2 linked regions of the Ovis aries genome follow. The protein of the gene in region 2 interacts with the protein of the main gene of each other region in a biochemical or structural test. Links are inferred from orthologs where the notes say so. Each region holds a gene or a part of one and is shown on either strand. Other genes may lie near its edges. The genes, in order: CACNB4 and CACNA1A.

Region 1 (8,280 bases), on a different chromosome or scaffold from region 2:
TGCCATTTCCTTCTCCAACACATGAAAGTGAAAAGTGAAAGGGAAGTCGCTCAGTCGTGTCTGACTCTTAGCGACCCTATGGACTGTAACCCACCAGGCTCCTCCACCCATGGTATTTTCCAGGCAAGAGTACTGGAGTGGGGTGCCATTGCCTTCTCCAGGAACTATGGCTACAGGGCTACATAGCTACTACAAAGTCTACAGTCTACACAGCTACATGGGCTTCCCTCCTAACTAAGTCAGTAAAGAATCTACCTGCAATGCAGGAGACCCGGGTTTGATTCCTGGGTTAGGAAAATCCTCTTGAGAAGGAAATGGCAACCCACTCCAGTATTCTTGCCTGGAGAATCCTATGGACAGAGGAGCCTGGCGGGCTACAGTCCATGCGGTTGCAAGAGTTGGACACAACTGAGTGTCTAAACTACCACCATGAAGTCTACAGCTTCAGCCTTTACTTCTTGGGATGCTCCTGCTTGGAACCCAGATATCATGTTGTGAAGAAACTTAAGCAACCACGCTGACAGGTTCCAGTGGATGGAAAGCGAACCTCTGCCAAAAACTCCACTCGAGTTCTCAGCCAGCAGCCAGCACCAACCACCAACCACACATGTAAGGATACTTCAGACCATTCAGCCTTCTCAGTACCCAGATAACATCACACAAAGAAGAAGTGTGTCCGCTTAGTACACAGAAAAAAAAAATTTTTTTTAATGTTGTTTTTTTTAAGTTACTAAATTTGGGATAGCAGTTAGGAGGCAATTTCTCCGCCATTAAATAAAGAGGAGTTTAATACTGGAGCAGAACCTCATGCCTAAAATATATCAAGACAGTCTTCCGTCATTCCATCTACCCCTTCATTCTTTCAAATCAGAGAGATGTGTCTATAACCAGTGCTTCTTTCACATATTTATTGAACACCTACTATGCTAAATGCTGAGGAGAAAATGGAGACCAAATGCAGACACGTCCCTGCCCCAGTGGAATCTGTTATCTGGATGGGGAAACGGACATTAATAAAACATGTAATGACATGTTAAATAGGTAAATAAACAGCCATGGTACTATTGAGAACTAGCACAGTGCACTCTGGGTACTTGGTTAAGGAACTGCCCTTATTAAGGAGATTAGAAAAAGAAGTGAAAACTAAAGTTAGGTTTCAAGGAAGATTAAAAAACCAGCTAGGCAGAGGGGAGAGCCTCCACACAGAGAACTTCACATGTGCATAGGGCCTGTGGCATGAGGGAGAGTGGTATGTTCAAGATCTGTTTCCAGAACTAAGATGGTGGCCTAGGATGAGGCTGGAAGCTGGTAGGATCCAGGTCTTACATGCCTCTGCAGTTCTCATAAGGGCAGTCTTAAGGAGAAGTCAACAAGCCACTCTGATCAGATTTTCCTTTGAACCTCAGAGGAGGAAAACACTGGGAGTAACCCCAGTGAGGGTAACCTGGAGCACTCTGCCACACAACCTGTATGTGCTGTGATACCCATGGTATCTCATATACTCACACACATGGGCATTCTGCAGACACCCTAATTCCTTGCTCCATCTCACCATATTAATTGTATGCATCTATGTCTCTGTAACTATATCAGAAAATCCTTTAGGTACAGGGGCTGTGTCTCATTCATCTTTTCATTCCTATCCCACAGTATCTAGTGCAGGGAAAGGTACATATCGAATGTTTAGTGAGTGCTTCCTAAAAATTTAAAGCATGAATAAATAATCCATTCATAAATGGCCTGTCAAAAGTGATCTCCTGAGAGAAAATTCTACAGCCTTTCTTGGAAAGCCATCTCAAGGATATCAACATTCTTTGGAAAGTCTTGCTATAAAGTATCCTTCCTTTCTAATTGTAGCCAATTGTTGAGTTCAGCCTCCATGAAGACAGAACAGCCCACCACATGTCCAAAGGACAGTCTTCCTGTACCCTTTGAGGATCACTACCGGGTCACCCCTAGTTCTTTCTTTTTTCAGTGAGGAAATACTTAACCTTCTCACCTTTCCTCAAAGAAATCATTTAGTTGCTCCCTGGATTCATCCCAAAACCTCCATCGCTCCTAAACTGTGGAGGGCAACAATCTAGCAGATCAGCAAACAAGGTCAGAGATGCCTGAAGGGTTTTGTGAGCAGTCCTCAGGGGGAGAAACAGGCTGTCTTAGTCTGTTCATTTTCAGGCCAGGTCACATGTGTGCATGTGTTTGTGTGTGCACATACATACATCTGTGCACATATACACATGAACACTGAGATTTTTTTACCAGCTCAAACAATAAACACTGTTCTATTTGATGAGTTTGCCAACTGTCCTCTATTCTTCACCACCAGCCCGGATGTTCCTCTCTGATTCAATACATTTTTTAAAAAAATAAGTGAAACCTTTACCCCCATATCTTTGCAGATTATATGGCAGAGAAATGAGCAGCACTGTTTTTACTGATATCTTCACTATCTTCTTGTGCAAAGGCATCACACAGATTGTGAAATACATCAAGAATTCAAAAACAGTAAATCACTGGTCATTCTACAAATAATAAGTCTCTAGTAACATTAAACAGCTGCTGGTCTTTTTTTAAACAATTTTTTTTTTTTTTTTTGGCATTTGGGTGAAAACTGTTAAATTTAATTTCAAAATACAGTGTTAAAGTTCCATTTGGAATCATTTTTCATCTCTTGTCAAATAAATTAAAATTCCTCAGTTGTTTTATCATTGTCATTACAGAAGTCTATATTATGACATTTAAAGAAGATCAGATATAGGATGCTCACTGAGCTGTAAGTCCTCATAACAATTATGTATTATTTCTGTGCAGAAAAGTTAGTAAGACTGTGTATATGTTAATAATATCATTACAACAAAATGTCCAAATTTAAATTAGATCATCTTAGTAAACCAACATATCCTAGCCTAGTTTCAGAAAGACTTATGAAATATATTTGTTCCCCAAATCTGTGACAGTTTAAATTACTCCCAAAATTATTCAGCATGAATACTTTTTACATTTTTAAGCCGACACACACCAGCACATTTAACAAGAACTTATACACGCCTTATCTCACTTATTATTTAACTTGAGGAAAGAATAAGATTAATATATTACAAAGAATATTGATTGTGCTTGGATGAATAAAACATTACTGAAGTGATGGTATAGATAAATTCAAAAGTGTCAGTCAAATGCCTCATGGAATATACTGGTGTATAATTAGTATTTCTAAGAATCTATAGTAATAAAACACTACCAAAAATAGGCATCTACAAAATAAACATAAACAAGATCTCAGTCACATAAGTCAATTTTTGTAAAAGAAGAATGTTTGCTTTATTAAATATGTAAATAATCTAAACACTGCAAAAAGGATAGAATACATTTTTTGAATTCAGAATCCAAAATATACTTATTTTAATAATGCACACACTTAGTACTCACTGAATGAAAGAGTAGTTGCAGTAATTTCTGTCCCTGAAGAAAATGAATGCCTGTGTAATAAATACTATGTAAATACGCTTTATGGACTTTTTAGGAGAGGTCTGAGTCCAATTTTGAGTCTAATGCCCATTCCTCAGGGGTAATCTGTTTAAATTGAGGATAATCACTAAAGAAACATAATGCAGCTGCCATCATAGGTTAAAAACACAGTACACGATGATCTGAGTTACCTAGAGGGAAAAGAACTTCCCAAGGTCATTCCAGCAGCCCACAGCGGAGCCTTGGTGCAGTGACCACGGTCCTCCCAGGGTACCCTGAACTCACACACCTCGATAGCTTCTCTTCCAAAGAGAAATCAAGGTGATTCCTTTTCGCATGATCTCTCTAGCACCCAGTAGCTATGAAGGAGTGGTTTCTCTGTAGCCCATAGACAGTACGAAATTAAGAACCAACTTCCTGTGTCAAGCTAAAAGGCACTTCAGCATTCGGTGGAACCAGTGATCTTTATCACACTCAACGCGCACTAGAACCACGCAGAAGAGAACAATCACTAAGAAAACAAACATTAAGTGTGGCAGCACCCAGACCCCAGAAACTGAGTGTAGGTCTTCGCTTACTTAGATTTAAACAGATCCGGCAGTCTTTCCCTAACCGAGCGAACCAAAGAATAGGTCCCAAAGCGAGACCAAACTTTCTGCTCAAAGTGTCTTTCCTTTGGACCAGAGCTAGGAGATGACAAAGGAGAGTATTCAAAATAGGGCAAAACAGAAGAGCTTCTAACAGCCGAATCTAAGCAGTTGTCCGGCGCCCGGGGCTCTGGTCAAGTCAAGTCACACGCCTTAAGAAGGTTTCCTCGCGCGACGAAGGTGCAAAAAGAAATACTTCCACTCTTAAATTCAACTAGGTCCCAGCTGGCTCGCGTCCACACGTACCAACTTCCCGGGACCCTAAGACTTGGGAGCCGGGACGGAAGGAGAAGGACCAGCCGCAGGGCACGCCGAGGGAGGGAAGGGGCGCGCGGGGACCCCGCCCGCCGCGCCCGCACGAGGGGGCTGCGCTCAGCTCCGGAACACCACCCCCACCGCCCCCCGCGCCCGCCTCCTACCTGTCTGAGGATGAAGCTGGTCGAAGTGGTGCTGCCATCGGATCTTTTCAACCTGCTCCTCCGGGTCGTGGTGCCTCGGGCCACCTGCACTCGACACACGGGGTCGGAGAGAAGCGCATGAGGGCGCGGCAGTGGGGAGCCGGGCGACCACCCCAGGCTAGAGTCCGCCTCGGGACCTGCTCCCCGGGGGCTCCCCAGAGCCCGCACCCACGTCTCCTCCACGGTCCCCACATACAGCCTCCATCCCACCCACCCACTTAAGCCTCGACGACTGAAAAGATGCCCGGGAAGAGCCGCCCGCGAGCACCCACCACATCCATTAACAAAGACTCTCAGGGTGCGGGGTCCGAGTCCCCGGCGGCATGGGCTGGGGAAGGCTGCGGACTCCGGAGCGGGAGCGCAGAGACCTGACGAGGTGAGAAGGAGCAGGAGCAGGAGGAGGAGAAAGAAGAGGGCGGGAGGAGACAGGGACGGCGCGCAGGGGTGGGGGAGCGGGGCCGCTGACTCCCAGGACCCGGGCCCCGCTCGCCCGGCGCGAAGGCGGGGCGAGGAAGGGGAGGAGGGGGCGGTACCTGCGAGGTTGGGGAGCGCGGCCGGTCGGCGCTCCCGTTCTTGGCGTAGGAGGAGGACATGGTTCACAGCCGCATGGCCCGCCCGTGCTCGGCGGGCGGAGGACGGCTGGGCCCCCCGGACGCTTGCAAGCTGGAGGCGGGGGAGGGCGGCAGGACTTCCCCACCCGCTTCGGGACCCGCGCCGGCTCCTGCGAGCGCGGAGACACCTTAAAGGGTTCGAGGCGCTCACCCTCGCGCCAGCAGCGGACCTCCAGGCAGCGGCCCCCGCCGGCGGAGGTCCCGCGGAGGGGGGCTTCTCGGGATCTCGCCGACCCGAGGCGATGGAGAAGCGCTCTCCCACCTAGCGAGCGCCTTACATCAGAGCTTTCCAGTGGAGGAAGGGAGAGGGGGAACCTAGGAGGGGGGTGGGAGGATGAAAATAGTCTGCACAGTTTAAAATGAGACAAAGGTGGCACGGTTCATGAATCAGGACTCGGGGAAGGACACTGGTGCAGAGTGGCAGGGAGTGGGAAAAGCCAATTCGGCGTGTATGCGTGTGTGTGTGTGTGCGCGCACGCGGGTGTGTGTTTGCTGCACTGGAATTTTAAAAGGGCAAGAGCAGAACCTTTCTTCCGCGACTTCACCCATCAGCCCATTGTGGTAAGGCATGGGGTTCTGTGGTTTGGCTTTTTGTCCGAGTCTTTGTATTGTTCTGTGAACTCTAGCTTCAAAACCGCAAGCCATGCACACCCGGCAGCCCCGGGAGATTCTGCCAACCTGAGTCTGACCGGGGTGCAGCCCGCAGCAAACCGGCGTGTCCTAAGGAGTTTTGAAGGTCACATAGACGTGCTGAAAGGCAAGAGTTGGCCACGTGCCTTCCCTTTCTAGGCGGATATCTGTCTTCAAGGGAGAGAACTCATCTTTGAAATCATACATCTTTGGCGTTGTTGCAACCCTAAATTTCCTCCTGCAAAAACATACTAGAGATTAACTGGAGAACAAATAAAAGCGAATTGTGGGGAGGAGGACTTGAAGTAACAAGCAGGAAGAGAAACATGCGAATTCAAAAATAAAGAGACCCTGTTTAATTGTAAATAGTTACTGCAAGAGAAATCCATGAATAAAATTTGCATGGTATCTTAAATTACTACATCAGCCCCTATCACCTTGGGTTCTAGTATTTTTTGAGGGAAACTGCCTGTCTCTTTTAACAATTAGTTGGCCTTATTGAGGTCCTGATAGTTTTACCATACACCAGACACTTTCTTTCCATTCCCACCCCCTTCACTTAATCCAGACCTTCAGTTCTTTGTAAGAGTATAATAATTAGTCTCCTTGCCTCCAGCCTTCCTCTAAGCATACACCTGCACACACACATACCCACACACTTCATTCTATCTAAACACTACAGGCAAAACCATTTTCCTAAAATCTCTTTACTCAACTCACTCTTTTCTAAAAAGCACTGCTGACTTCAAAAAAAATGTACAATGTGAGTTACATGCCGTTTTATTTGGGGCAAAATGAGGACTGCAGCCTGGGAAATGGTGCCTCAAGTAGCTCTGAGAGACTGCTCCAAAGAGGCAGGGGTGAAGGTCAGTATACGCCTGATTCTGGCAAAGGAGGAAATACATATAATCAAGCACATGCACAGGTTTCTGCTATCTCATGAAGCTTTTTGCCAGTGATGAGAAACAATCATCACCATGAAGGATTTTAGTGCTTTTCTAGATATGAGGAGGCATAACAATTGGACCTATAAAATGAGATCCTCAAAATACCTATCTGAAGATCTGTCCTGCCAGTTCCCCCACCCCATCCAGAGCACAGAGTGCCTCATTTCTGGGCTCCACCTGAACTCCTTTCAGAGGCTGCTGAAGGTCAGCAGCACATGCTTTAACCCTTATAGAGGTAGATGGCAAGTGTCAGTTTGTAGTTGATGGCGCTCATTGCTCTCAGCAGCCCACAAGACAGAGTCCAAACTCCTTGGCCCAACAACCAATCTCCTGCTTTGGTCACTACCACTTTTCTCCAACTTGATCACTGAACAGCAAGCAGAAAGGTCTGCTCATTGCTCAAACACACCAAATACAATCCCTCTTCAGCACCTCTGCCTGAAATGTGTCCTGCCCCCAGTCCCACCCGCCTGCATCCTACCCTGCTTCCAAGCCTGGTTCAACACACTCTCCTTCCACAGAAATCTTCCCTGACCATGCCCTGAAAAACTGGAGCATTTATTCTCTGGGCACTTAGTGCAGGCTGCCTTGGTTTACGTGTTCTCTTTTTGTGAAAATCTAATTCCTAAAATAGATTTTTAGCTTTTTATCTTCCATTCTTATATCTCACATGTTATATTAATAGATATTCCATAAAGTATATGGATAATGGTATGTCTGCCAATGCAGAACCCCTTGCTTTAGTTACCGTCAACTCAATCCATTTTAAGTTCTCAGCCATTTTCATAGTTGATACTTAATCAATACTTACAGAGTGAATTATTATGTGGGCACTGGGATTTGAGTTTTCTGGCTTTCTACTGCCTACAGTCTTATGACACTGAGTTATCAAAAAAGAATCTACAGTGGCATGACATTGAAGAGTTCTCTTTACCTACCTCACAGCAAAACTGGTGAAAATAGTTTCTAAAAAATTCTTTAATCTGTGGAAATGGTCCAGAGAAGGGTATGCAGCCACTGAAAAAACATTCATTCAGGAAAATTTACTAAAACTCAGTAAGAAAAGTGAGCTTGTGGTATTTGAACCAAGACTTGTTCTCCCCACCCTCACCCCCCACCACCTTCATCTGATTGAGCAAGAGGGAAACTGGCTACCTGATGCTGCTGGGAATACAGGGCTCCCTCTCCCTTCAGCTCCCAGCTGGAGGGTTATTTTCCTGGGAGGGACAGGCCATTTATCATCCTGCAGCGGCCACCTGTTGCTGAGGCTAAGTTCCCCTCAAATACAGCAGAGGTGGGGGCTCCTTTCTTTAGCCCAGCCCCCACTTGTGGGATGGGGGCTCTGCCTGGGACACAGTGCCACAGAGAATACTGAGGACCCAACTGCTCCTGGAGAGACAAGCCAGGAGACCCAGGCTTGCTGCCCCTCACTACCAAGCGCTCAGCTCCTAAAGTGAAAATGTCACACAGAGAATGCCATTGTCCTTGCCCCCAGGACTGGAACTCAGAGAATGAAGTT
Region 2 (8,187 bases):
GAATGGGATGCCATGACCTCCTCCAGGGATCTTCCCAACTCAGGGATCAAACCCAGGTCTCCCGCACTGAAGGTGGATAATTACCAGCTGAGCCATGAGGAAAGCCCAAGAATACTGGAGTGGGTAGCCTATCACTTCTCCAGGGAATCTTCCCAACCCCGGAATTCAAAACAGGGTCTCCTGTATTGTATACATCTATATATATATAAATTACTTTGCTGTAGGCCTAAAACTAACACAACACTGTAAATTAACAACACTGTAAAATAACTATACTTCAATTTTTTTAATGATCAAAAAGGTAATAAATAAGTTTGTGCTAAGCCGTTCATTCTGGCTCTGAGTGAGAGACTACACCATTGTGTAATCTGGGTCATTAAGATCTTTTTTGTACAGCCAGACATTCTGGAGTGTGAAGTCAAGTGGGCCTTAGGAAGCACTGCTGCCAATAAAGCTATTGGAGGTGCCGGAATTCCAGCAGAGCTATTTAAAATCCTAAAAGATGATGCTATTAAAATGCTGCACTCAATGTGTCTGCAAATCTGGAAAACCCAGCAGTGACCACAGGACTGGAAGAGGTCAGTCCGCATCCCAGTTCCCAAGGGCAGTATCAAAGAGTGTTCACACCACTGGACAGTTGTACTCATCTCCCATGCTAGAAAGGTCATGCTCAAAATCCTGCATGCTAACTTCAGCATTATGTGCACCGAGGACTTCCATATGTCCAAGCTGGGTTTAGAAAAGACCCAGGAACCAGAGATTAAATTGCCAACATTTGCTGGATCATAGAGAAACCAGGGGAATTCTAGAAAAACATCGACTTCTGTTTCATTGACTACACTAAAGCCTTTGATTGTGTGGATCATAACAAACTGTGGAAAATTCTTAAAGGGGTGGGAATACCAGACCATATTACCTGTCCTCCTAGAAACCTGTATGCGGGCCAAGAAGCAACCGTTAGAATCCTGTACGGAACAACTGACTGGTTCATTGAGATTGAGAAAGGAGTACGCCAAGGCTGTTTATTGTCACCCTGTTTATTTAATTTCTATGCAGAGCACATCATGGGAAATGCCAAGTTGGACGAGTTACAAGCTGGAATCAAGATTGCCAGGAGAAATGTCAACAACCTCAGATATGCGGATGATACCACTCTAATGGCAGAAAGTGAAGAGGAACTAAAGAGCCTCTTGATAAGGGTAAAGAAGGAGAGTGAAAAAGCCAGCTTAAAATTCAATATTAAACTAAGATCATGGCATCCAGTCCCATCACTTCATGGCAAATAGAAGGGGGAAAGGTGTAAGCAATGATAGATGTCCTGTTCTTGAGTTCTAAAATCACTGTGGATGGTGCACACAGCCATGAAATTAGAAGATGACTGCTTCTTGGCAGGAAAGCTATGACAAACCTAGACAATGTGTTCAAAAGCAAAGACATCACTCTGCTGACAAAGGTCCATATAGTCAAGGCTATGGTCTTTCCATAGTCTTGTACGGATATGAGAGCTGGACAATAAAGAAGGCAGAGCATTGAAGAACTGATGCCTTTGAACTGTGGTGCTAGAAAAGACTCTTGAGAGTCCCTTGAAAAGCAAGATCAAACCAGTCGATCCAAAAGGAAGTCAACCCTGAATTCTCTTTGGAAGGATTAATGCTGAAGCTGCAATACTTTATCCACTGAGGGGAACAGCAGACTCGCTGGAAAAGACCCTGATGCTGGGAAGATTGAAGGCAGAAGGAGAAGAGGGTGACAGACAGTGAGATGGTTGGATGGCATCACCAATTCAATGGACATGAACTTGGGCAAACTCTGGGAGATACTGAGGGACAGGGAAGCCTGGGGTGCTGCAGTCCACGGGTAGTGAAGAATCGAACACAACTTCGCAACTGAACAACAAGTCGGTCACTCAGTAGTGGCCAACTCTTTGTGACTCCATGGCCTGTAGCCCACCAGGCTCTTCAGTCCATGGGATTTCCCAGGCAAGAACACTGGAGTGGGTTGCCATTTCCTCCTCCAGGGGATCTTCCTGACCCAGGGATCGAAATTGCATCTCCTATATCTCCTGTGTTGGCAGACAGACTCACGGAACCACCTAGGAAGCCCATAATAAATGAAGCTTTACAAAACCACATTACCTTCATTAATCAATTCTTGCAACAATATCAACAACAAACAAGTGGCCAAGATTTAGTGAGCACCTACTATGTGCCCAGCACTGAGCATCACCTGGCCTGGTCCCCCAGGACCTCTACTATTGGGATGCCACAATTGGCCTGTCAACTAGAACACTGATGCACAGACTTAAGCCCCAGTTTCTAAGACTCTGACTAGCCAGTCAGACTCTGATTCTGCCCTGGAATCCAGCTGAAATGCAGATTCTAACTCAACAGGCCTGGATGGGGCCTGAGACTCTGCATTCCCAGAGTATGCTGCCAGTCCAGGGTCTGCATTTTGAAGATGAAGGTCTGAGGAGTCTGACCAGCTCCCCTCCCCTCCCGCACTCAGTTAAGTCAGTCTCGCTGACCGCCATCAGACAGGCTTGGCCTTGCCGGGAGGGGCTTACGAGAGCATGCCAAGAGCCCTAGCCTGTCTGTCACTGTGAAGACAGTTGGCTTGAAAGATCCTGGAATAAGATCTTCCCTCACTTGCCCTTGGCCACTAAGGGCCCTCTTGTCCTGTAAGGTAGCATTAAAAAAAAAAAATAAGAAAACAAGTCAAACCTTCTGCTGGTGCTATGATGTTCAAGAGCTGCACTTGGCATTACTTTGCCGGTCATTTGCCCAGTAATTTGTTCAATGTCAAATCTGCCCTTGGGGGACTTCCCTGGCAGTCCAGGGGTTAAGACTCTACACTTCCATTGCGGGGGGCATGGGTTTGATCCCTGCTGGGAGAACTAAGATTCCTCATGTCAGTGCTGCCCACCTCACCCCCCAAAAATAAAACACCTTTAGAAAAAAAAATCTGCCCTTTGCCTCCAGAACCTTAGTCCTGATCTTTCCACTTACTTTGGGGGAGCTAGAGGGGCAGCACTGAAGTTACCCAGTCTTATCTAGAGGAATGACGGCATTTGCCTCAAGCAGCATCTTTATGTGCTCAACGACTCCGTCGTTCCCGACTCTTTGCAACCCCATGGACTGTATAGCCCGCCAGGCTTCTCTGTCCATGGAATTCTCCAGTTAAGAATACTGGAGTGGGTTTCCATTTCCTTCTACGAAAAGCAGAGTAAGGCACCATGCATTGGCTGGAACGCCTTTATGCGTGCCTGCATATCCCAGTGTTTTAGAGGAAAACATCAATGGGATAGTCAGCTACTAAGACCTCTGGAGTTGGGAGCTTTCCTGCAACCCGGGTCTTGGGTTTGGAAGATCTAGAAACCAAGTCAGGGGTGAGGGGCCAGAGTCAGCCAGACACAGGAGACTGCCTTTCTCCCAACTTCCCCACCGCAACTCCCCCATCCCTCCCCCATCCCTCCCCCATCCCTCCCCCATCCATCCCCCATCCATCCCCCATCCATCCCCCAGAGACCTAAGCCTGTCCGTGAAAGAGCCCGCAGGGGAAATGGCAGGTCTGCCCTGAAGTTGGCGGCTCTGAACAGGAAACTCAGGATGGAACCGGAATACCTAGTGGAGATCCCTACCAGTCTCCTACCCCGGCACCTAGAAGCTAAGGAAGGAGGCGGCTCAGGGAAGAGCGCCCCTCTTGTCTGTTCAGCCACGGCGGAGGCCACTGCCTCCTGGAAGCTATATCATCCTCCCGTTTACATTTCCTTTTGATTCCTTCTTCCAGCTCAGTCCCTCAGGAACCCACAAAGCCCGAGCCCCGGGAAAAGGCAGAGGAGCCCAGCCTGCGGGGCGCTTCCCCCTCCCGCCCCCACCAGCCACGTGTTCTCTGAAGCTGTCAGTGGGCGAGAGCCAGAGAGGAGAGTGATTTCTCTCATTTCTTGAGAAATAAAAGCCACCCGGAGAGTCAGTTCTGTCCAAACATTTCCTAAAGGGAGGGGTTGGTCTAGAGGGGTGCCTAGCACTGTCTCTGCTTTTCATTTGGAGCAAGGGAGGGCAGAATATTAAATATTAAACAGAACAAGAGGTTGCCTAAGACGGCGTAATTATCCTCAACAGCCATCTGCCATCTCCCTTTTTCCAAACGTATTCATGCCGGTTAGAGCACAGCAAACAAGGACCGGCGACACGGGGGGCGTGAACTTTTGTTTCTGGGACCACCACCCCGCCCCCCCCAACAAAGTCATAGGCAATGGGGGAGGGGAAGGCGCGCAAGATTCCAAGCTCGTCACTTAGTCCAGCCTGCCTGCATCTTAAAGCAAAAACAGACTAATTTAGACTTGAGTGATGGCCGGGGGCGTGGCGGAGGACAGGAGACGGGGTTGGGGGAGACATTTAAAAAAAAGTAGAATTAGGCTTAGCTTAGAAACCGTGATCATTGGGGAAATGTCACAGGCCCAGAGCAGGTGGCAGAGATATCAAGTACTACAGGAGGGCCAAGGGCAGTTGAGAGAAAATGAATATTTCAGCAAGAAGTAAAAGCTGGAAATCAGGGAGTCTGCCCCCAGCAAGAGAAGCTGCGGAGAGAAATAAACTTCCCACCCCCCAAAGAAAACCTATTCAGAGGAAGGAGGGGGTCATTGGGTTCTTACCTTTACCTATACAGGTAAGGTTGCAGCAAGGAAATAAAGATTAGACTCCCTGCAGAACTCTGCCCCCCCCCCAGATTTTGTCGCTCACTCACCTGTGTTGCATGGGCTCTGGCGCTCAGGCTGTGTGGTTAGTGGGCAGCGCAGCGAGTCCTCCGGCTGTCCTGAGGGCCCCACCTTGTCAGCGCCCAGGGGTCCAAGCCAGCAGATGCCCACGCATCCATTGCCTGCCCAATGGAAAGGAAAAGGGGGCCCCGGAGGAAAGAGAGAGAAAGGGGACACCAAGAGCAGCCAAGCTCAGAGCTGAGGGCTCCCCACAAAGGCAGGTGCCAAATGGGGCTTCTGTGCCAGATAACAGTGGGGGAAAGGGAAAAGGAAGAGGGGGAGGTTTCCCTAATGTTGGGAGGAGACAGGGGAGGACTAACGTGTCATCAGCCCCTGATCATCTCCAGCAAAGTACTTACTGCTCGGGAACCCAGGACAGGGAGACTATCCAGCCTCCCATCCACAGTGCTCCTCAGGGGAAAATAAAAGGGAATTCTTACTCTCGGCTCTCTGCCCCTTAACACTGGACCGCGACCTCCCAGCACGGGGCAGGACTCTCTGGAAGGATGCTGTGTATCACCCCTCTACCTTCTTCCAGAGCAGCTTCTCTTAAGGAGCCAGGAAAGGCTCTGTCTCTCCTACTTAGTGGGTTTGCGGAAGGGGCGTGTGTAGCAGGCGGGAATCAGCATGGATGTGGAATCACACTTATAATTTAACCATCTCCCCTCCGCCAGATTACCTAAATTATTGATGCCCTTACAGAAACACTAATTAGAGGACAGCTGCTAACCCCACCCCACCCCCAGTCTCTTCTGTTCTCTGGCGAAACAGCATTTCTTTGAGCTCCCTCCCACCCCCTTAAGGCAAAGGGAGTTGTATGATTTGAATATAAAGGCAGCAAGAAGAGAATTTGAGTCTTTGGATGCAAAAAGGCAATTGATGGCAAGCTTCACAGGTTTGTTTGCTGCGTGCGTAGACATAGGTTTCCAAAACTGGGGTGACCCCCTTTCTCCTTTTAAAGGAGGCTCCTTTTAAAGATGAGCTGTATGTCTTATAAGAAGCATCTAGGGCAGAGAGAAGCCTCATGTTTCATAAAGTGGAGTCAAAATGGGAGGATTTACCTCACTGGGGAAAGAAGCATTGTTTATACAGGAGCAATTAAACCTGGGCTGGGTGTTAGGGGATATTAAAGAATTACTGTTCTTTTTATAAAGTTTCTTAGTAGTATTTTGATTGTGCTCAGTCCTGTCTGACTCTTTGCTGCCCCATGGACTGTAGCCCGCCAGGCTCATCTGACCATGGGATTTTCCAGGCAAGAATACTGGAGTGGGTTGCCACTTCCTACTCCAGGGGATCTTCCCTACCCAGGGATCAAACTTCATATCCCTGTGTCTCCTGCATTGGCAGGTGGATTCTTTACCACTGTTACCACCTGGGAAGCCCAGTATTTTGATTATGTTGTTTTTTAAAGTCTTTATGTATTAGGGATACATGTTGAAGTATTTATGCTTAAGGTGATAGGTCACTTCCAGGAGTAATGAATGAATAAACAAAATTTCAGATCCTCTGTAATAGGGAAGAAGAAACGTGATTCCATATTGAATCTTTCACTTTAACCTTTACAGTCTATTGCTTTTGCTATAATAATGTTGCCTATAGCCTGAAATACACTGGATAGCCCATTTTCAAGCCTCTGACCTTTAAAGGTATAACACTTTCCCATTCATATAGAGATAAAAAGTTGCAGAATGTGGAGAAGGAAATGGCAACCTTCTCCAGTATTCTTGCCTGGGAAGTTCCATGCATAGAGGGGCCTGGTGGGCTACAGTCCATAGGGTTGCAAAGAGTAGAACACGACTTAGCGACTAAACAACAGTCGCAACAAGGTGGGTTGACATTGCTGATGGGAATCACAGGATGTGCAGATCTGGCTTCTTGAAAATGCTGATTCCTCCTGCTGCTGCCTCTGCTAAGTCGCTTCAGTCGTGTCCGACTCTGTGCGACCCCATAGACGGCAGCCCACCAGGCTCCCCCGTCCCTGGGATTCTCCAGGCAAGAACACTGGAGTGGGTTGCCATTGCCTTCTCCAAGGCATGAAAGTGAAAAGTGAAAGTGAAGTCACTCAGTTGTGTCCAACTCTCTGTGATCCCATGGACTGCAGCCTACCAGGCTCCCCCGTCCATGGGATTTTCCAAGCAAGAGCACTGGAGTGGGGTGCCATCGCCTTCTCCTGATTCCTCCTACCTTCCTACAATTTCCTCTTTTTGTGGGGAGAGAGCAAATTAGCCAAGATGGTGTGGTCAGGCTTTCTTGCCCCGTGGCCTCTCGCTCTTGCCCCCTGTTTTATAAATGATTATGTGACAGCTGTTTCAGAGGGCAGCTGGCACATTCTGCTGAATACATGCTCGGGTGCCTCGGGACTGAACTTGCTTGGTTTGGATACACATACCAGCTCGCCCTGACTGGAGTCAATACTGGGTACGCTTCTAGCCATTGGTTCTCATGCTCCGCTGGAAAGACCCCCTGTTGAGTGCCTGCCCCAAACAGTGTACTCTGGCCAAACGTCCATGGATTTCCCCCCTTGTAGCCACAGATGTATTGTGTTTACCAATGTTTGCTGTTTAAATGGTTTTTTCTAATTCCACGTGTTTTCCAATCTCTTTTCATAAGCCCTAGACTACATTAAACACAGTTTGCACCCCACCCCCCAAAGTTGCAGAACAGAGAATGACTTTTGTCTTGCTGGAGGTTTACTTGAACATGGTGACCTGACCTACCCAGACAGCTGCAACAAAGGATTCTTGACATCAGGAAGTTTGCAGCAACCAACCACACCTCCTCCCCTTTCCGTATCAAAGAAGCCTGAATTCTAACTCAGGGAAGATGGTTCTTTGGGATATTAGCCCGCCATCTCCTCAGTTTGCTGGCTTTCCAAATAAAGTCGATATTGCTTGCCCCGACAACTTGTTTCTTGATTTATTGGCCTGTTGTGCAGCAAGCAGTAGGAGCTTGGATTCAGTAACACCTCTGTACAGTGGAATATTATACAGTCATTAAAAATAATGGTTCCCTGATGGCTCAGACTATAAAGAATCTGCTTGAAATGTGGGAGAATCGGGTTCGATCCCTGGATCAGAAAGATCTGATAGAGAGGGGAATGGCAACCCACTCCAGTATCCTTGCCTGGGGAATGCCATGGACAGAGGAGCCTGGAGGGGTACAGTCCATGGGATCTCAAAGAGTCAGATACAACTGAGTGATTAACACACACATCAAAAATAAGGAAGCGCTGAGACATACTACAACATGGCTGAACCTCAAAAACATAATGCTGAGTGAAAGAAGCCAGACACAAAGTGTCACATAGTGTATGATTCCCTTCATATGAAACATCCAGAATAGGCAAAGCCACGAGACAGAGAGTAGATTGGCAGTTTCTAGGAGCAGGGGCATGGGGAGACAGGGGCTGCCTGCTAGTGAGTATAGGGTTGCAT

What was found.
Region 1: the proteins of CACNA1A (region 2) and CACNB4 form a complex in vitro, tested with the Homo sapiens proteins (2 studies listed by BioGRID). The link is inferred for Ovis aries from reciprocal best matches to the Homo sapiens genes CACNA1A and CACNB4.

What each region holds. Positions count from the first base shown.
Region 1 is NC_056055.1:157,489,493-157,497,772, reverse strand, and holds the start of CACNB4 (voltage-dependent L-type calcium channel subunit beta-4), read right to left. Parts: upstream 5,466-8,280; 5' UTR 5,167-5,465; coding exon 5,107-5,166; intron 4,947-5,106; exon of another isoform or gene 4,855-4,946; coding exon of another isoform or gene 4,846-4,854; intron 4,619-4,845; coding exon 4,535-4,618; intron 1-4,534. UniProt on the Homo sapiens protein: The beta subunit of voltage-dependent calcium channels contributes to the function of the calcium channel by increasing peak calcium current, shifting the voltage dependencies of activation and inactivation, modulating G protein inhibition and controlling the alpha-1 subunit membrane targeting.
Region 2 is NC_056058.1:10,325,227-10,333,413, reverse strand, and holds the start of CACNA1A (voltage-dependent P/Q-type calcium channel subunit alpha-1A), read right to left. Parts: upstream 5,374-8,187; 5' UTR 4,744-5,373; intron 1-4,743.